Canis lupus familiaris: one gene and its partners. The protein of the gene in region 1 purifies or fractionates together with the protein of each later gene. This does not show direct contact. Links are inferred from orthologs where the notes say so. Each region holds a gene or a part of one and is shown in the gene's direction. Other genes may lie near its edges.

Region 1 (4,035 bases):
TATTTATTTATTTACTCATTCAAGAGACAGAGAGAGAGAGAGAGGCAGAGACACAGGCAGAGGGAGAAGCAGGCTCCATGCACCGGGAGCCCGACGCGGGACTCGATCCCGGGACTCCAGGATCACGCCCTGGGCTGAAGGCAGACGCCCAGCCGCTGAGCCACCCTTGCGTCCCCCTATGTAATCTATTAAAAGCAAGTCAGTTCAAACAAAATAGGTTTTAAATCAATCAACCTTCTCTCCAATAGGTCCTGCCACAACTTAATTAGCTTTTTGTTGTTACTGAGCCTTATTATCATATAATGCGATGGCTCTGAGGCTTGAGCGGACGCTGGTATCACCTGGAGCGCTTGTTAAAACAGGCTGCTGAGACCCCTCGGATTTCTAATTCAGGAAGTCTGGGGCGGGCGCTGAGACTCCGCGCTCGTAATAAGTTACCAGACACGATGCGGAGGTTGCGGGGACCACACTTTGCGACCCAACCGCCACCATGCACGCTGCGCTAAACTCCGTCCCTCCCACCTCCCAGCACCACTCGTCTAAGAAGGCACACGCGATTATCCTCTCGGGAACTTCAGGAAGGGCGCACCGGTACCTACTCCTAAATAAGCCAAGGACTCTGCACGCGCAGCAGAAATTAGGATGAGACAAACCTACATCCGGCGCCTGGCGCAGCCAAGCTACGCCATTTCCTTTCTGCGAAGCTCCGCCCACTCCGCGTCTCTAACGCGAGTAAAGGTGGGCGGCGCAGAGAAAGCTGGGAATCACGTGAGGAGGTGACGTCTCGCGAGGCTTTTAACCTCTCGCGAGGCTTGATCCGTTCTGTCTTTTCCTCCTTCTAGTGCCCGGCTTTTTCCCCTCCCCCTCGTCGCTGACCAAGTTCTTCCTTTTCAGACCGAGTCGCCTTGTTGTTGCCGCGGAGATTTTTTTTTTTTTTCCTGCTGCTGCCGCCGCCGTCGCCGCCGCCACCACCACTGGGCTCCTTTGCCCCGACCCTCTCCTGCGCCCTGCCCCCAGCCCCACCCAAGGTAACGAAGCCGATGAGGGAAGAGAGCAGGGCCTCGCCGGGCCTGGGCCTCGGGTCGGAGCAGAGGCCTGAGGCCGGGGAGCGGGCGGGCCGCGCCGGAGAGGCTTGGGCAGCCGGCTAGAATCCCAGGGGCCCGGCCCCCCTCCCACCCGGGGTTGGGCCGGGCTGGGCCGGGCTGGGAGCTGCGTGCGGCGGCGGCGACGGGGGCCAAGCGGGGAGCCGGTCGGGTGGGGTGGGGACGCGGGAGGCCTCCGGAGGACGCCCTCAGCCTTCCTGCGGGGCGCCTTGCGGGTAGGAGGCTCCGGCGCCGCCGGGGGCCGCTCCGGTTGTGTTTTCGGTTTCCCTGGAGCTTGTGTTTGGATTTGGAGGTCTGAAGTCCTCGAGCGGTTGTGGCGGGCTTGCTCTCGCCCCTTTGGAGCCCTTCCAGATTCCAGGCTGTGCTGGACGGGAACTGGAAGGCAAGGGTCCTCGGAAACCCCGCGTGATTGCTTTATGCACCGAGAAGGGATTCTCGTGTCGTATTTTCCGGAGGAGAATGAGCCCGGTGGGTGAAAAAGGCACGCTCCTTAGAAAGCCTAAGCGGGACCGTGTTCGTGCCGTTTCTTTAGTGAAGGAGCTGCATCGGCGATATTTAAGTGACCGGGTGAAACATTTTTTTGCTCTGGAGAGAGGTTCTAAACACACTCCTATCTCACGGAGGGAGTATTATTTATGTAGTTAATCCAAAAGCCATTTCTGTTTTGTTTTGGATGTAGTATTGAGTGCTTAAAAACACTTTATCAAGTCTCCACTCTTCAACAGATTAGTGCTTTTTTTTTTCTTTTCTTTTTCTTTTTTTTTTTTTTTTTTTGGTAAAGCTGTAACACCAAACAAACAAACATAAAAGAGCCAAATAGAGTGTCCTCCCTGTTACAGAAGTTTAAAGAAAATTGGAAATTATCCTTCTCCCTTTTGTCTTAGCTCTTGTTTTCTGTTTCTGTGTGGAATTTATTGGACGTGTTTATAAACTGTGGAATCCATTGCCCTGAAGCTTGGGTTTGACTCCCAGCTCTTCTCATAATTAAGAGTAAAGGTAATGGTAATAAGTTAAGCTGCAACAATGAATTACATTGAGGAGCAAAACTGGTAAGGATGAAGGCAGGCAGACAGGGAAATTATTATTTTTTTTTTATGGTGCTTTTGGTTCAGTTTTCATGATCTTACTCTTTTATTTTCCCCAGATGTCAGAAGATCTAGCAAAGCAGTTGGCAAGCTACAAAGCTCAACTCCAGCAAGTTGAAGCTGCATTGTCTGGAAATGGAGAAAATGAAGATTTGCTAAAATTAAAGAAAGACTTACAGGTAAGTATAAGAGGACACTAATAGTTACATTGCTTGGAAAAACTATTCTTTTTCAAATGATCTTATTACTTAGAATCCAAAGCACCATTTGGAGGGGGATATTTCCTCTCCTACTCTCCCTTGTGTGTACATGTGTGTATGTACATAGGCATTTATGGCTCATAGAAGTAGGGTTGCTTCCTCTGTTACAGACCTCAAAATGAGTAAAGCGTTGTTCTGTTATGTAAATCTTGTGTGTTGATTTAACTTAAAAGAGTTGGTTTTAGAATTTTGTCAAACCTTTTAGAGAAGAGGTACATTTAACTTTACAGTAGAAAATGCTTTTATTTTTAAAGATCTGGCAAAGGAAATTTAGTTCAAAAGGTAACTAAAAGAAAAATATGAGGAATTTAAAAAATGTTAACTATACTGGAATTAAAAGAATGTGGAAGCGTTTTATAAATGATAAAAAACAATGAGAAAAATGTAACCTGATTAAGATTTTTTTTAATGTTACAAGATTCTTTGAAACAGAAATGAGAATGTGTGTGTGTGTTTCAAAGCTAGCAGGTAAACAACTTGTATTGAAAACATAAGAATATCTAAAGAGATACTTGGTTTCTGCATAAATGTTACATAATGTTTGAATTTAAGGCTAGATTTTACAGTGTAGTTGTTGATACTTGTTGAAATTGAGTGGATGTGGAAAGATCTGTTTTGTCTGTCATGGGAAAGTTCAGTAGGAATAAAACTTGGCTTTTGAAAACCTGCACTGGGGTTTCAAGACAAAATGAAAATCATTATAGTAAATATCTATTGTTTCTCAGAACATTAGGTTGATTAGTGAAAATCCTATGTGTGTATATATACACATGCATATGTATAGAACTTTATTTTTAAAAATTTGAGAATAAAATTTTGAACCTGATTTTTTTTTTGAAAGTTTTAAAAGATGTTTTTTTACTAGATGATCTTCCTTTACTGATTCAGTACAAAACTAGAATCATCTTTATCCTATCTAAATCCTTTTCCTCCTTTTATCATTCTCTTGCCCATTAAAATGAATATTTTAGGGATATCAGAACTGAAAATAAATGAAACTTCTTTGAAATGGGGTCCAAATACAGGACTTTGAAAAAGTTTATCTGGGCATAATTAAAATGAGTTGAAAATTTTTAGGTTCAAATTATGGATTTAGGATAAACATGCCTAAGGTTGCAGTAATATATAGTTTTTAAAAACACAGAAAACAGGATCCCTCTTCAGTATTTAGAAGTCAGGCCAGTGAATGTGAGAGTGCTAGTCAATACAAAAGATGTTTTGGGAGCAGTTTCTCCCACTTCCAGGGCAACGTTCTGCCTACCTCAAAGAGAGATCCTGGAATGTATCACTTACCAGCTTAAAAGTGGTCCTTTTTTTTTCTTTGAAGAAAATAAAACATTGTTGATATTGTGTATTTTGCTTCCTGGGCAGTTGTTGGAAGAGGGATATGTGTGGAACTGGTGGAGGGGAATTTAGGAATAAAGATTAAACAATATTATTGTGAAGTGGGTTTTTTAAAATATTTCTAATATTTAATAAACTCTCAGTAGTCTAGGCAAATTGCCTTACTGTGACATGATCTCTGGTGGAAGTATCGTAGGGAGAGAGACTGTCGTGGTAGGCATTATAGTAAGCACGTAAGTGGCT
Region 2 (3,935 bases), on another chromosome or scaffold:
TTACTGGTGTGGTTTATACATCTGTTTTTGTTTTTTAGAGTAGCACGTTAAAGATCTGACTTGAAAAGATTTGTAATGGTTTACTCTTAGTTCACTTTATGTAACTAGAAAGGATTATAAAGGTGCATGTGTTTGGAAAATGATCAAATCCAAAAATGGTGGTGGAATAGCTAAAACAACAATCATGAAAGCCAAAGGTTTTGTGTAATTAGTTATCCAGGAGCAATTTTAATTAAGCCCTGTGTTATTTTTCCTTTGTGTACTACTTCCAGGGTTGAAGGTCTCGAGATTCCTTTTTATTCTGTTATTTTCCTGTTCTTCTTTTTCAAGATTTGGGTATTAACATTAGCATTTTAACCTGAGGTCACTGGTGTCTGTCTCTGGTCATTGGAGACCATAGGAATAGATTTATTCATGAGGTAGAGGTATAGGGAGGATAGAGTGGGGCTGAACCCACTTTACTAGTGACAATAAATACTATTGGGAATTTATGCTGTTTTGAACAAAGCCATCATTCGTTGTCTCATCAAATATATGTTCGTTGTCAGACTTTATTTCAAATGCTAGACATAAAATAGTAAACTAAAGATAGAAATCTCAAAAAAAAAAAAATAAAAAATAAAGATAGAAATCTCTGTTTTTGTGTAGTTTCTGTTCCAGTGAGGGGGACAAGCAAGTGCAACGTCAGTGGATGTCCGATGGTAATAAATACTACAGAGAATAGAAAGCAGGGGACGGAATGTAGGAGATGAAGTCTGTAGGCGGCAGTCTGGAGTCCGGGTTGTCAGGGGAGCATGTGCAAAAGGGTAGGAACAGCCCTGTGCCCTGAGACCAGCCAGCACATGTACACTATATGCTGAGTGATGAGCAGTGCTTTTGCCTATTTTCCTGCCGATCCTTGCAACAGTTTTTTAAGTTGACTCTGCCAGCTTTAAGTGGTGGTGTCACTATTTATAGAAGGCAGCCAAGTTACAGAGGTTAAGTAACTTGTCCAAAGTCACACAGCAAAGTGGAGCTGGAATTGGGACCTGGAACCCCATCCTCTCACTTTTCCTGTGCCTTTCTACAGGTCCCGGAAGGCCACTTGTTTGTCCTGTATTGTGTGGCACTGACACCTGCTTTAACTCTTCATATTGCAGATCTTGATTCCCCCTAAAGGCTTATTTACAAAGCTCAAGAAAGAGGCGGAGAACCCCCGAGAAGTTTTGGACCAGGTAAACTGAATTATAACTAGTTAGTGGTGGTGTGGGTTGTTTCATACTTGGAATAAGGCTCTGAGGTGGGACCTTATTCAGTTCAGGCACAGGAGTGGTGGGAAGAAAGGCCTTATGGCCACAAAGGCTGAAGAACCCTGGACTCTGCTCTCTTTCTACTTTCTCTCAGCTTTACTGGATCTTCCTCTTTTCTGTCCTCACTAGAAGCCAACTGATTATTAGATTAGATGATTAGAAGCCAACTCCTGAATAGGCTTGCTGGTGACAAATGCCTTTTGCTGCCCCAAGTTTTCAGAGTCAAGGAGAGAGAAGGCATATTGGTGCTGCCTGTTCTGGGTGGCTGCATGAAGCCTTTGTTTCTCAGGTTCTCAGATTGCTGCTTCTCTTGTGGGTATGTGTTGTCACATACACTTCCTGGGACAGAGTTTGCTGCTCTGTGAGCATAGACCTCCTTGCCAACTCAAGCAGAAAACTGAGGTTATAACAAATGGCTGCCCTTGGGGCCCAGACACAAGGTTTCTGTGACATTTAGAATTTTTATTCTTTCCAATCTATGGGTCTGACTGAAACCAAATGCAAATACCAGCGTTTACTCCGGAAGTTCTCCCTGTAGACAGAACAGCCTCCTGTTTCAAAGGAGATGCTGGATTTGGTGAAGGGCCTGGAGGTGACCGCCCCATCAGCAGCAGACCCTGATCAGCTTAGCATCATGCCATTTCTGTCTCTTCAGGTGTGTTACCGGGTGGAGTGGGCCAAGTTCCAGGAGCGAGAGAGGAAGAAGGAAGAGGAGGAAAAGGAGAAGGAACGGGTGGCTTATGCACAGATCGACTGGCATGATTTTGTGGTGGTGGAAACCGTGGACTTCCAACCCAATGAACAAGGTAGATCTGTGACTCCAGATGAGTAGCCAGGAGCCATCCTGGAACATCTCAGGTATACATCTTTTCCCAGGGAGCAGCACAGTCCCGCAGAGAGTTTTATCTGTCTGTTTCATCTCTGCTATCAGAATCCTTCAAATTTGCCACATTGCCCCCACTTAAATCCAATAGAGCAAACATCGTGCCAGATGTTGGGTGGACGTCTGGAGCTGGGAGAGAAATCGGGCCCTTGGAGAGCTTACAGTGTGGGGAGGGCAGACTGATGGGTCTTTGCTAAGGATTGTCTGTGGAGGTTGCCTTTGACTCTGAATCACCCTCTACCAGGGAATTTCCCTCCCCCCACCACCCCGGAGGAGCTGGGGGCCCGAATCCTCATTCAGGAGCGCTATGAGAAGTTTGGGGAAAGTGAAGAGGTTGAAATGGAGGTCGAGTCTGATGAAGAGGATGAGAAACAGGAGAAGGCAGAGGAGCCTCCTTCCCAGTTGGACCAGGATACTCAAGTGCAAGATATGGATGAGGTATATGCTCCTGGGAGGTCCTGCAAGCTGGCCTTTCCCTCTGGAGCTTAAGGAGATGGTGCTTTCCACAAGTCAGATCCAGCTCCCTTATGAACCTTGAAAGGAGGCATGGGTCCCGAAAAGGGATCCCAGCTGAGCAGCTGCCCAAACCCAGGCAGCATAGAGCCTCTTTCTAGCTCTGGCAACAAAGATTCATTCACAGGCAAGGATCTAAAAGCTGTGCTGGCTCTGTTCTGTGACCTTCCCCCCTTGGCCCAGAGGCCCTATTCTCCCCTGCCCCCATGCCAGCTCTCAGTAAGGGAACACTTTTTGCCACATGCTTTGATGCATTTGAGCCTAGGCCCAGATGATTAGTGGTTCCCAGAGCTTTTCTCAGTGTAGACTGTGCTTCTTTTCGGCCGCCTCTACCACCCCTACCCCCCCTCCCGCCCCAGGCAGGCATAGAGTCTCCGGAGCCAAGCTGCTCTCCTCCTCTTGGAAAGAAATTGTGTGTGAGAAGAAAGGCCCCTGTGTCTGTGGGAATTAACTTTTTCTCTCCCTCCCAGCATTGCTCCATGAGTAGCTACCATTGAGCACTGACTTGCCCCCCGCACCCTCCCTCCCCAGCATGTTTAAGTGCCCTTGGTCTCCTGGGACTGCCTGGTGCCAGCTGCTGGAAATGCCTGGGCGGAGTGTTAGCACCACGGCCCCCAGCACTCCCATTCATGTTGTGAGGAAACAGCTTGGCCAGCTGCCGGCTGGCCTCGGCTGCCCCCAGAGGCTTAGCACATAGATGCTGGCTGGCAAAGACCTAAGTTCCTTGCCACCCTGAGAGCCATCAGGGCTTAGCTTCAGGGAGGTGGCCTGTCAGCCATTCTCTGAGTCCTACCATTGCTTTGCTTTTCAGGGTTCAGATGATGAAGAAGAAGGGCAGAAAGTGCCCCCACCCCCAGAGACACCGATGCCGCCTCCTCTGCCCCCAACTCCAGACCAGGTCATTGTTCGGAAGGACTATGACCCCAAAGGTAGGGCCTGCATTCCTGCCTTCAAACGTTCCCCAGAGCTATCTGTTTCTAGGAGAGAGTGAGGTGGCTTGTCTCGAAGGCATTGATAACCCATCCTTCGCAGGCCTAGCGGTGGGGAACAGAGCTGAGTCATCTCTGGTGCCGAAGTGCCTTGCACAGTACCAGGTATAGCATGGCACTAAATGGATGTGTCTCAGATGAGTGATGTGTAAATGAAACAACAGTCTTGACCCTGACTACTTTCCAGTGTTCTCATTCAGGCATCTCTGTTTCCTTTTAGCTTCCAAGCCCCTGCCTCCAGCTCCTGCTCCAGATGAATAT
Region 3 (4,035 bases), on another chromosome or scaffold:
TTCCTGAGTGTGCTGACAAGCTGGAAGGGAGGGCATCATTGCGATTTCTTCTGTTCTTTCTGGGTTTGGCTTCTCCTTTGGGAGTGTCAGGAGACTCAGATGGTGGTGGTGATGGAAAGAGGAAGCAGGCTTGGGCAAGAGGAAAGAATTTCCTATTTAGGATTATGATGTGAGCAACCTTCCTGGCCCAGTCTGTTTTTGTTTCTCATAAACATATCTATCCTGGACCTGGCATCCCATTATTTTTCCCGTGCTCTCAGCTACTTCTCTTTGGAAGGCAGTCAGTGAAATGGAGCATGCTAGAAAGAAGATATGAAGGGTGTGTGTGTGTGTGTGTGGGTGTCAGGAAAATGAGACCACTTTACTTGAATTTCCCAGCTCTCACTCAACACACACACACACACACACACACACACACACACAGAGGCAATGAGCCTGCCAGTGAGAGGACAGGGCTAGAATGGGAAGAGGATCTCAGAGCTAGTGGCAGAGATGGGAAGAGAAACTGAATTGATGGGTCAGGATAGAGAGAGATGGAAGCTACACAAGCAGGGAACATCTGCTCATCCCTCCCTCAGGTGCACAGGCGGTTGCTGGTGCTGCTGGTGCTGTTGGGGCAAGGAAGGCAGCGTCGACTCTGCCAGTAGGCTGGTGGGGATAAGGGGAGAAAAAGTCCTGAGCTCATTTTTGGGACTAAAAAAGATGCATCCTGTCGCCCGAAAGATCGTTTCGTTTGTTTTCCCCATTAATCATTACTGAGCGCCTCTTGAACGCCAGGTGCTGCCGGACAGTAAAAAGACCAGGTCCCCTGTGCACGTTCTTGGGGAGGTGGGGCAAAGGGGCAAGAAAGAGTTTAAAACAAATGGTAGATGTTTGTACGTGTTACGGGAACTCCAAGGAAGGAAAGGAAAGCGGGAGAAAGGCTAGCGGAGACATCTGAGCCGGCCTGATAGGTGGAAAAAGGGGCTTTAGTGTGGCCCTTCCCCCCAGGTCGGCAGCTGGAGCTCAGCCCGCTCCCCTCCTGGCTCCGATCCTCTTTCAGCCCATTCATCCATGCGTGGGCCGGGGGTGGGCGGGCAGACAATCAGATACTGTTTTATCACAGGCATCGGCTGCAACCTCCCGCTTGGCGCCCACAACGCGCGGCCGCTGGCAGAATGAGTCCTTCAGGCCTCCCTGAGGAACGAAAGCGTCCGGGCCTCTCACGCCTGAGCTGAAAGTCTGGTCGGAAGGCTGGAGATCTGCGCTCCGGCGAGGCAGACGCAGAAAGGACGCCTTTCTGGCGGGACCATCTTGCCCCGCAGCCCCGCCCCTGCTCCAGCCTCCAGTGTTGCCGGTGCTTCAGCCCGGCACTGTGCTCCGGGAGCCGGACCCGCAGAGAACGGGACCTGCGTACTACAACTCCCAGAAGGCTTCGCGGCCTGGCATCCTGGGGACGCTTGGAGATCCGCAGGGTCTGGGCCGCAATGTGAACCGCCTGCCAATCCTCCAGCGGACGTGGCGTACGGCGCTGCCGGAAGTTCCGGCAAGTGGGCCCCAGGTCCGGTCCGGACTTCCGCGTTGGTCGCGCGCCTTCCTGCGGCTAAGATGGCGGCCGAGCATCCCGAGCCTCCCAAAGGAGAGTTGCAGCTGCCGCCGCCGCCACCTCCCGGTCACTATGGCGCTTGGGCTGCCCAGGAGCTTCAGGCCAAATTGGCGGAGATTGGAGCTCCGATCCAGGGTGAGGAGCTCGGGAGGTCAAGGGCCGGGGCAGCGTAGGCCCAGGGAGAAGCGGAGCCTGGTTACCCCGGAGACCCGGGGGGCGGAGGGAGGGGCGGAGGCGGACCGCTGGGGCCTGGCTTGGTCCCGCAGGCCTGCTCGGCCTGACTTACCCCGTTGATCTTGTGCTTTGCCCATCAGGGAGTCGCGAGGAGCTGGTGGAGCGGCTGCAGACCTACACGCGCCAGGTAAGTGTTGGCGGGACGTCAGGATAGGCCGAGTTTCTGAAGGCCTCAATGAGCCCTCAGGACTCGGTCTTAGCTTTTTATGTACCTTGCTGTTTCTGCTTGTTTTTTTACATTACCTGACCAGTTGTAAACATTTCTGTATATATAGGTCTTCTGCAGTGCCTAGCGCAAGCTCTGGCAAATGGGCAGTTGGTAAATTTTGTTGAATGAATGGGAGCAATGACGTTTTGTGGAACAGCTCCTCTTGGACTGACCTGGAGTCCTTTCTCTTTTGCAGACAGGCATCGTGCTGAATCGCCCAGTTCTGAGAGGTGAAGATGGGGACAAAGCTGCTCCCCCTCCCATGTCCGCACAGGTAAGGAGGTGGTTCTACTTTATAAGATGACTTCTGTTCAGGGCAGCTCCTCTCACAGTCAGTGTTTTGGGGATGCCACTAACAGATTGGACAGGGAGAAATGGGAGCTCTTCAGTTCCCCTTTAGTCCTGATCCTTACCTCCTTACCCAGTGTCTGCTTCTCCAAATACTACCTGTCATTTAAGGTTTAGCTTAAGTAATTTAGAAGCCTGACTTGATTCTCCTTCAGCTGGAAATAGCTCTTTTTTGCCTTACCAGGCACAGTTCTCATTTTGTTCAGTGAGACATTATGGCTCACTCTCTTATTTTATTTCATACCTTTTATATTTAGTGAGCCATTGGGACACACTGGCTCCAGTTTATTTAAGTCTTCTTAACTTCCATTTCCTTTCTGAGCCAGGATTTGAATTTTTCTCTAGGACAAGACTCTGATCTGGGATCTATTGACTTCTGTGGGTGGGAGGAGGAGTTCCCAGGTGGCCATTAGAGGTGTCCTTGGATTTCCTGAAATTGTATGCACAATCTGTGTTCATGGTTTTCTGGGGAGAGAGTCAATAGCTTTCCTTGGTTGGTACCCCAAAGTTAGTATTCTCTTCTATCGGTATTATATTTTTTTGAATGCAGGAATTGTCACTTGACTTTGAATTTTAGTACCTGGCTCATAGTACCTGCAAATGTCTGCAGTAGATAAACGGTTCCTAGTGTATGTTGACTTTTTTTCCACAGCTTTCTGGGATTCCCATGCCACCACCACCCATGGGACTCCCCCCTCTGCAACCACCTCCACCACCCCCACCACCTCCACCAGGCCTTGGCCTTGGCTTTCCTATGGCAGTTGGTCCCCGCCCACCAAACTTGGGGCCACCTCCTCCTCTCCGCGTGGGTGAGCCTGTGGCTCTGTCAGAGGAGGAGCGGCTGAAGCTGGCGCAGCAACAGGCAGCATTGCTGATGCAGCAAGAGGAGCGTGCCAAACAGGTAGGGGAGGTGGCAGGTTGGGCATAGGTCTCATCAGGGTCCTAAAGAGGATTGAAGCCTTAGAGAAAGCTGGATCCTGGGGCCAAGCCTTCTGGGAAGTCTGGACCAACGACTGGAACATAGACCCCAGGCTGAAAGAGGACCCCCAGAAGCAGTGTTGTGGCAGCCTGGCCTGAGGGGTAGTGGTGCTGATGTGAGTTTGTTTTCTTTTTTAAGCAGGGAGATCATTCACTGAAGGAACATGAGCTTTTGGAGCAGCAGAAGCGGGTAATTCCCTCCATTGGCTGTCACTTCTAGTACTAGTGTCCAAAACAAGATGCTCCATTCAAGTTTTCCATGGAGGTTACCTCATCCTTAAGTTCCAGTATCTCCCAGATAATCCCATCTTTTCTGGAGCCCAGATTGGTAAACTACAGACTGTGACCTGATTTTGTATGGCCTGCAAGTTAAGAATGGTGTTTCTAACTTTGGAGGATTGTTAGGAAAAAAAAAATTGGCAAACCAAGAACATACTGCAACCCTTGCAATGGCCCATAAAGTCTAAGATATCTGTTGTTTAGCCCATTACTGAAAAAGTCTGATAATTCGTATTAGTCTTATATGATTTTAGATACCTATGAGAGGACTCTGGATTAGTCAATTGTGTGGGATTTAGACTAAATGTGATAGAGGTAGTTAGAGAATAATACATGAGACATGCAGTCCCAGAGGTGCACTCTATCAGTTGTTCCCTGCTGCATTACTGGAGATATTGAAAGT

What was found.
Region 2: the proteins of SMNDC1 (region 1) and SF3A1 purify together in Homo sapiens (affinity purification with mass spectrometry; 3 studies listed by BioGRID and IntAct, with this or other methods). This does not show direct contact. The link is inferred for Canis lupus familiaris from reciprocal best matches to the Homo sapiens genes SMNDC1 and SF3A1.
Region 3: the proteins of SMNDC1 (region 1) and SF3B2 purify together in Homo sapiens (affinity purification with mass spectrometry; 3 studies listed by BioGRID and IntAct, with this or other methods). This does not show direct contact. The link is inferred for Canis lupus familiaris from reciprocal best matches to the Homo sapiens genes SMNDC1 and SF3B2.

The regions. Positions count from the first base shown.
Region 1 is NC_049249.1:21,894,914-21,898,948, reverse strand, and holds the start of SMNDC1 (survival of motor neuron-related-splicing factor 30), read left to right. Parts: upstream 1-1,325; 5' UTR 1,326-1,562; coding exon 1,563-1,571; intron 1,572-2,241; exon of another isoform or gene 2,242-2,247; coding exon 2,248-2,367; intron 2,368-4,035. UniProt on the Homo sapiens protein: Involved in spliceosome assembly.
Region 2 is NC_049247.1:23,899,519-23,903,453, reverse strand, and holds part of SF3A1 (splicing factor 3A subunit 1), read left to right. Parts: intron 1-1,139; coding exon 1,140-1,214; intron 1,215-1,944; coding exon 1,945-2,095; intron 2,096-2,416; coding exon 2,417-2,610; intron 2,611-3,496; coding exon 3,497-3,614; intron 3,615-3,894; coding exon 3,895-3,935. UniProt on the Homo sapiens protein: Component of the 17S U2 SnRNP complex of the spliceosome, a large ribonucleoprotein complex that removes introns from transcribed pre-mRNAs.
Region 3 is NC_049239.1:51,712,507-51,716,541, reverse strand, and holds the start of SF3B2 (splicing factor 3B subunit 2), read left to right. Parts: upstream 1-1,541; 5' UTR 1,542-1,587; coding exon 1,588-1,720; intron 1,721-1,899; coding exon 1,900-1,946; intron 1,947-2,223; coding exon 2,224-2,301; intron 2,302-3,027; coding exon 3,028-3,276; intron 3,277-3,492; coding exon 3,493-3,543; intron 3,544-4,035. UniProt on the Homo sapiens protein: Component of the 17S U2 SnRNP complex of the spliceosome, a large ribonucleoprotein complex that removes introns from transcribed pre-mRNAs.